Rattus norvegicus: one gene and its partner. The protein of the gene in region 2 interacts with the protein of the main gene of each other region in a pairwise test. Links are inferred from orthologs where the notes say so. Each region holds a gene or a part of one and is shown on either strand. Other genes may lie near its edges. The genes, in order: Bmal1 and Epas1.

Region 1 (3,812 bases), on a different chromosome or scaffold from region 2:
CACACACACACACACACACACACACACACGCGCACACACACACACACACACACACACACACACTCCATGGTGTGCACTCTCTCTCTCTCTCTCTCTCTCACACACACACACACACACACACACACACACACACACACACACACACACCATGGGTTTTCCTGTCTCTGTCTCTCTCTATCTCTTACACATCCCCCCCCCATACATTCTCTGCCTTCAGTTTGTGCTGACTCCTTTATTTTGACCAAAGGCACAGAGGTAAATCATTGCCTTGCACCTGTCATCACCCTGGACTTCAGAAGAATGAATCCTAGGGGGAAGAGTGTACCCCAAATGAGGTGGTTACCCATACAGGCAACACCGCACCCTGGAAGTGATTGTGTCCCAAGCCTTCACATCACAGTAAGGATGGATTTGGCCCAATGTTTAGAAACTGAGCTGAGACTGTGTTCAGCCAGACCACACCCAGACTACAACTAATGGGGCCTGACCCTTGCTCCAATTATTCCTCTATTTCATCCTAAAGAACAGGGCAGTTCCCCAACAGACAGACTCTTCCTCTTTGGAAGGGGCCACATTGAAGACATCTTTCTGCTATCTTCACCTGTCTCTCTAATGGGACACGTGGCCTGTCCTAGCTTGTTGCAGCTGCTGGAGCCTAGGCTTTGGTCCTAAAATGTCTGTTTCCATGACTGGAGAAACAACTCAGTACTCAAGGGCTTGCTGCTCTGGCAGGAGAGCTGGGTTTGGTTGTGAGCACCTATATGGTGCCCGTATCCTAACCCATATCTGTGAGGTCAGTTCTAGGGGATCTAATGGCAGCACATTAAACACAGATATTGCACACAAACACTTAAAATGAAAATAAATAATTTTTAAAAAATCTCTAGTTATACCTGGATATAAATAAATATCCTTCAGTGATATGAGCAGGTGGTACGTGTTAGGGCCCAAGTGGCCACTCTGGAGACGCCCCTGAGGCTTACTAAGGAGGTACTTGGAGCTCAAAAGAAAAGCTGAGGTAGAAATGTAAACTTAGAAGCTGTTGACCTGTGGGTAACATTACCTATCGACACATCAATATGGACAGAGGAGAGTGGCCCCAGGGCAGAGAGAAGGGGAAGCCAAAGGGCCAGGGAGAGAACTTTGCAAGAACCGTGAACAGTCAGTCAGTCAACACATGAGATCACTAGGGCAATTGGCCAGGAGGATTCTAGAAGGGTCGGTACTCAAGAGACAGAACTGTGACTGACTGTGTTTTTTTCCCAAGTCACATCAGGATAGACAGAATTTATACACAGAAAGCCTATTCACAAATCTGTCCCCATGGCAACACATCAGGGCTCCAGGGCTCCCCATTCCCCGCTCTGGTTGCTGAAGGCTGTAAGGTGAGAGGCAGCCAGGGCTGCAGGCCAGGGAGCAGACGCTCTGGGGAGCTTCGTGAAGAGCCCCCAGGTAAGCCTCTCTTAAGGCTGCTAACTGTACCTTTTTTCTTTGAACAGGTGGAGGCGAAGTCCTTATCTTCCACCTTTACTGAAGGCCTGTTGCACTTCATCCTACAGAAGAAAGAGCGCCGAGCTCCAGAGCACAATCGGGAGGGCCCAGGGGTTATATCCGTTTTAACCGGAAGTCCAGCTGCAAATCAACACAAAACGTGGTGAAAGGAGGGCAGGACTGTCTGCCGCAGGAGGGGCAGTATGACCTCCCTGTTCTCTCCGGCCCACGGTCACGCGGATGGATTACAGACGGTAAGAAGTGCAGTTGCACAGGTGGTGTAAGCTGTCTAGGGGAAGAAGAGAAACACAGCAAAGAGTTCCTGCCCAACAGGAGCAGAGGAAATGAGAGAAATGAGGCATCCCAAGAGAGGCTGATAACAGGGAAACTTAACGATCAGTGCCAACTGGCAGACACTTGCTTCCTGGCTAAGGGTCTGGGGTCCTACCCAAAGGGTTCACAGGATTGAGATACTGGAATGGGGGTGGGGGACACAAGATTGCCTTGAAATTTCAACTTCACTGGAGTTAAAATCCCTTGGGGGCCCTGATCAGTCGACCCCATTGTGGATGTTTGCTCCCTAGGATAGCCGCCAGCTTCAGGCTGCCACTGAACATGGAATGAGGCTTTTCTGAACTGAAAAGGGTTGAGTAAAGTATTTGCAGGATTTCAGAGACAGCACCAAAGAAATGTTAAAGGACTTGAAATCTTTAGTAACAATTACATCAACATAATATTGTAGATTGATGGTGATGTTATAATTAGCTTTTGAATCTTGCTTTTGAATCTTGGGGCTACCAAAAACCCTGAACTAGACAGGCTTGTGTTCAGACTTGTGGTTTCAACCATGGCACTGTGGGTGGAACCCTCAGCCTTTGGCACATCCGTCAAGCACTATATACCAAGCTACCATTTTGTTCTGCTGGGCTGGGCTGGGCTGGGCTGGGCTGGGCTGGGCATTTACTTTCTGCAGGTAGAGCAAGGCTACTGAAAGCTCCTGGGTGACTTTGATACGCATGCCTCTTACACCCCTCATGGCTGTGGAAGCTGGGTGTATAGACACCACTGGGGGAGCACCGCAGCCATGCCAAGCAGTGACCACTGCCCAGGGACCCTCTCCCTACTGCCTCTCCCAAACTGGCTCTGTTAACTTCTCTAGAATGCCAGCCCAAGCCTCCCACATTGGTTCAGTGCCCTTCACTGTATCTTTCTCCCTACACATTTTGCTGTAAAGGCAGCAAACAGGCTCTAGGACACCACACAGGTTCATCTCTGCGGGATGTTTCCTCTTCCCTTCCTGATACCCATTAACTCATCTATTCAAACACACCTCAGCCAACACAGACTCAGTGGTGCCTGTCCTCTTGCCCCATGCCTGTCACTACTGCTGTAGCTGCAACTATCCTGCAGGGTGCTGCCCGAGTCACTGTCTCCTGACCATGTGGGAAGAGCCCCAAGGACAAAATGTCATCCATTTTTTTTCTCCTTCAGTCACTGGAAGGTGCTGAAGCCAGCCTACAGAAGGCAACAGGCATTAGGGCCAATGTTTGCTTTTATGGAGAAATGCAACTTCCTAAGAGGTACCCTGAGGGAGTTCTCTGACACCATCTCCATCACCAATCAACATGGAGAACTGAGCAACAAGAAAGCCATATGCCAAATGCTTTGAGCCCACGCAGATCCAACACCAGTGCTACACTTACACCATGCTGGGAAAAGTCAACATTCTTACACATTTCAACTACCCAATGAAAAATGTATGTTTTACAGATGAGGAAACCGAGGCACAGAGAGGTGAACAACTTCCTCACAGCCACACCCCCAGTGAATGGTGGAGGCAGGATGTGCACCTAGCCAACCACTGGGCCAGCTCCTGGGTCTTGGTCTGGGAATGACTGTGGGGAACAAGAGCTGGGGCCAGAGAATGCTGACCCTTGGCTGCAGGAAGTAAAGGACCCGGTCAGAGGACAAGAAACACTGGCTAAGTGTGACTCAGAGACACAGAGAGAGAGAGAGAGAGAGAGAGAGAGAGAGAGAGAGAGAGAGAGAGAGAGAGACAGATAGAGACAGAGAGATTTGTTCTGGGAGAACCGGACAGTGTGAGCCTTCTCAACTTAAGAATATGCTATTAGAAAGTTATAAATTCTGGGAAAAAAGTTAACCTGAAATCAGACAGAACCTAGTCAAAGTGGCCCCTCCTTGCACTAAGTTTGGCCATTGAAACCTCTCCTCTTTAGGTAGTCCATAATGTTAACAAACCCCAGTGAGCAGAAATAAGTCCAGTTAGTCACAGCAAGCAGCTGTAATGGAGAAATATGGCA
Region 2 (3,812 bases):
CAGGATACAGTGTCCAGAACACTGAGAATAAAGTTAACAGCCGTAAAAAGATCTTAAAGAAGTGATTTTTGTGAGCAGGACTCCATTTCTAAGCTTTTAGATATTATAAAGTACCCATATATGATAAACACTAAACCCAGATATAAATTTTCCTTTTTCTTTAAAAAACAAAACAAAACTCAGTGTTGCTTTTGAGTAAAAACATGTATCCACTGGACCCCAGGGTGAGATGGGGGACAAATGGCTTAGGAACGCCACCACGTAAGCGCCACTGTGTAAGCGTCACCGAGTGGCTTCACAGGTAGCCCTAGAGCTGACCCTTCACATCGCTTACATAAGTTGTATGAAAACTGGAGCAAAGGTTGGCCTTAAAAACATTAAATTTTACAATATGTGTGGGACAGAGGGGGGTAGGAAGAGGGAGAACCCACGGCGGAGCTTAGAAAGAAAATCCTTTCTCTTTGGCAACAAGGACAAGAACACTTTAGTTGAACGAAGCCAAAGCCTCCCTAAGGAGAGACGACAGCCACCATGCGTGTTAGAATGGATGCTGAATGTGAGAGAGAAACCTTTGGGGAATATAAATTAGAAGTAATTCGAGGGAGGGAGGGGGAGATCTTATAAAATTTCAGAACACTTTCATCAACAGTAAAACATAGCAGGTAAAACAGCCATGTGTTTTTAAAACATGGAGAGTAAAGTGAGCATGTCAGATGAAGGCCACGGCTTGGTGGCCTGGCCAGTAGGCCAGGCCAGTACATCTCGTAAGAAGTGTGCTGGTGTTAGAGATACCTAATTGCAACACAGACAGAAGTGAAGCTGGCAGGACGAGATGGCTGGGCAGGGACATGCCCGGCCACGGGCCCTGGCTCAGGTGGCCTGGTCCAGAGCTCTGAGAAGGTCTCTCCCCTGCAGGAGTGTAGAACTTCCAGGCACTGGGACGTTCACCTCACAGTCATATCTGGTCAGTTCCGGCAGCAGGTAAGGCTCGAACGATGGCCCCAGCAGTCGACTTGCCACTCCTGAAAGGAGGAGAGAGGAGGGTGTTGTAAGGGACCAACCAGCACGGTACCGACTCCACTGTGGATGACCAGGGAGGAGGGCGTTCACACAAACAACTGTGTCTCCAGCTTCTGGCCACTTCAGGTGCAGCGGCCCTCTCACCCTGGGCTCCATTCCCTGTCAGAAGAGAACGCATCAGCATCACAGTGGTTCTGAGATCCAAGGATGACTGGATCAACAGCAGGGTTCTCTCAGTTTAGAGACAGAGCTCGGTCCTAGTGGCCTCTCCCTTCTGGAGTCCACCCTTCCCCCTGTTGCCTGCACTCCTACATAAATATGACTCGCCCCTTGTTAAGTCCACCCCTGCTTTCAAACTATGGGCAGAAGTGATCTAAGTTGAAATTAGTTTTGTTTCGGTTTCAGCAGCTGGGGAAGCCTGTCATTTGCTGACTACGGCTGACCAGATGTGTACACCAGGGAGAGTGATGTGTGGTTCTCTCTTTAAACTTTAAAGTTTCTCTTTAAGTCTTCTGACTCGCCAGCCCACCTGCTGGTAAACAGTAGGACTGGAATATCAAGCAGGGGTGGGGAGGTGGGGGGGACTGGGGGATGGGGATGGGGAGGTGGGGGGAGTGGGGGATGGGGGGTGGGGAGGTGGGGGGAGTGGGGGATGGGGGGTGGGGAGGTGGGGGGAGTGGGGGATGGGGGATGGGGAGGTGGGGGGAGTGGGGGATGGGGGATGGGGAGGTGGGGGGAGTGGGGAGTGGGGGGTGGGGAGGTGGGGGGTGGGGTGTGGGGGTGGGACTTTGCGGTTCCACGGACAGAATTCCAAGAACAGCACTATAAATTTCCCCCAACTCTACTACTCTAGACAAGGCTCTGGGATTTTCTTCCTCAAACCATAAATTGTCTATGAGGAGCAGAGGCATCTGTGGGAACACGTGTGTGCTTCAGTGGCAACAGCTGAGCCCTCTGTGTCACCAGGGTTCCCTCCCATCAGTGAATCCCCTGTGCTAGCTCTCAGAGAAAGCTGGTGTGTGTGTACACTTCAGACAACGAGGAGCTGAGGAAAAGGCATGGCCTCTTAGTCTTGTGGTGTCGAGAGCCTAGACCTGACCTGACAGACCACTGGAAGATTCCTTCTCGAGCCTTCCAGAACACCTTCCCAGAGCAGCAAGTTTGTCTTGATCTGAAGTCCCTCACAGCCCTTTGCCACACTAGTCATTTCCTTCTCCCAAGGCCTCCCCAGCCTGTGGTGGTGTTGGGGCTGTAGACATGCCCCAGGGGAGCCTGCTTGGCCAGGAGTAACTGTACTCTGCCCTATCTCTCTCTCTCCCTCTCCCTCCTGCCTCCCCCTCTCTCTCATGTCAGGTTCTCAGTGAGGGGCCTGTACCCTTCCAGGGATTCTTTGACTAAGTCATTGTCAGATGTGTCTTGGGCCTGGTACCACGCAGGCTCTGGGATAAAGAAGAGACTTGGTCCTGGCTGAAGCACCCTCATTCACTGGATGAAGAGCCCTAGGAACTGTAACCAGTTGCCTCAGACCTAAGCGGAGGCTCTGAAGGCCGGCAGTCCTTCATCCAAGTGCTGAGCTGCTTCGAGAGTGGCTGCCTCCCAGCTCCCTGGTCAGTCAGCGCATCAGACCCTGGGTATGGTGTGAGCTCCAAAGCACTCACCTGACCCCTTTTGAGCTCCTGGAGGACTGTAGTCCTGGAACGGGGAGGCATAGCACTGTGGTGGGAACCCACTCTTGGCGTTCTCTCCTGGACTCCTGGTAGATGGTGGCTGGGAAGGTGGCAGGTGTCTCAGTGGCTGGCCCAGGCCTCTCATGGATTTTTGGGTGAATTCATCTGGAGGATCCAAGCCAGAGAGTGAATCTGGGGCTGTTGTTAGGACAGACAGTAGCTCTCAGCCTGCTTTCTTTTTCATGTAAAGGTCTCAGAACCTGGAGCCTGCTCATGGCCTGGATATAATCTATTCTGACAAGGCTCAGGGAAGGGGTCCTCGACCCTCCATCAGACCCTTGGGCCAGGCCTGCTTACCAGGAGCCATGCTTGCACTGACGGTCTTGTCAGGCATCAAAGGACAGGTCCCGCCCATGAGGCTCTTCATTCGTTTCCACATCAAGTGTGAACTGCTGGTGCCTGGAGGGTCCCCCTGCAGATGTGACATGATGTTGGGGAAAGTGAGCCCCGCGTGTGGAGTGGAGTACCTCGCAGACCCAGCGGGCACAGGCAGTGCTCAGCACCAGAGCGGCCTGCATCTCTGCCCTAGCCTCATCTCGTGCCCTCAGGCTTCGATGCCCGGGTGTTCATTCACAAGGCATGGCTTACCCCACTTGTGTCTTGGAAGGCTGGCTCCTCGTAGTCCAGCTGGCGCTTTAGCTTCAGCTTGTTGGACAGGGCTATCATGGCCGGGCTCATCATGTATGGGCCTCGAGCCCCAAAGTCCTTTGCAGACCTGCCAAGGCCAAGAGAGGAGAGGGGGTGTGAGGAGTCTAGAGCCTCCCGCTGCCTGCTGTCTTCCCAGGATCCAATATTTCTGACTACGACAGGTCGACAAGTCATGGGCCCAGAGGGCAGAGTGCCAAAGGGTTGAGCAGCCGCAGTCCGGCTTTTCCTTCTGTAAGATGCTCAAGAGTTCAGTCACCTGTACCTTTCTCCACACTCCTGGACACCCTGGTCCTGCCCAGCTAGATGACAGCAGTCTCTACAAGGATCTATGCCTCCCATGCAGAGGCCCCTCTGGGGTGCTCTACAAAGGGTACGTGCTACAGACAAGACACACCAGCTTCCGGGATTGTCCCTTAC

What was found.
Region 1: the proteins of Epas1 (region 2) and Bmal1 interact in binary tests that used the Homo sapiens proteins (3 or more experiments, as listed by UniProt). The link is inferred for Rattus norvegicus from reciprocal best matches to the Homo sapiens genes EPAS1 and BMAL1.

Annotation. Positions count from the first base shown.
Region 1 is NC_086019.1:176,846,054-176,849,865, reverse strand, and holds part of Bmal1 (basic helix-loop-helix ARNT-like protein 1), read right to left. Parts: intron 1,633-3,812; coding exon 1,483-1,632; intron 1-1,482. UniProt on the Homo sapiens protein: Transcriptional activator which forms a core component of the circadian clock.
Region 2 is NC_086024.1:13,544,435-13,548,246, forward strand, and holds the end of Epas1 (endothelial PAS domain-containing protein 1), read right to left. Parts: intron 3,463-3,812; coding exon 3,336-3,462; intron 3,160-3,335; coding exon 3,045-3,159; intron 2,853-3,044; coding exon 2,679-2,852; intron 1,180-2,678; coding exon of another isoform or gene 1,023-1,179; coding exon 871-1,022; 3' UTR 596-870; downstream 1-595.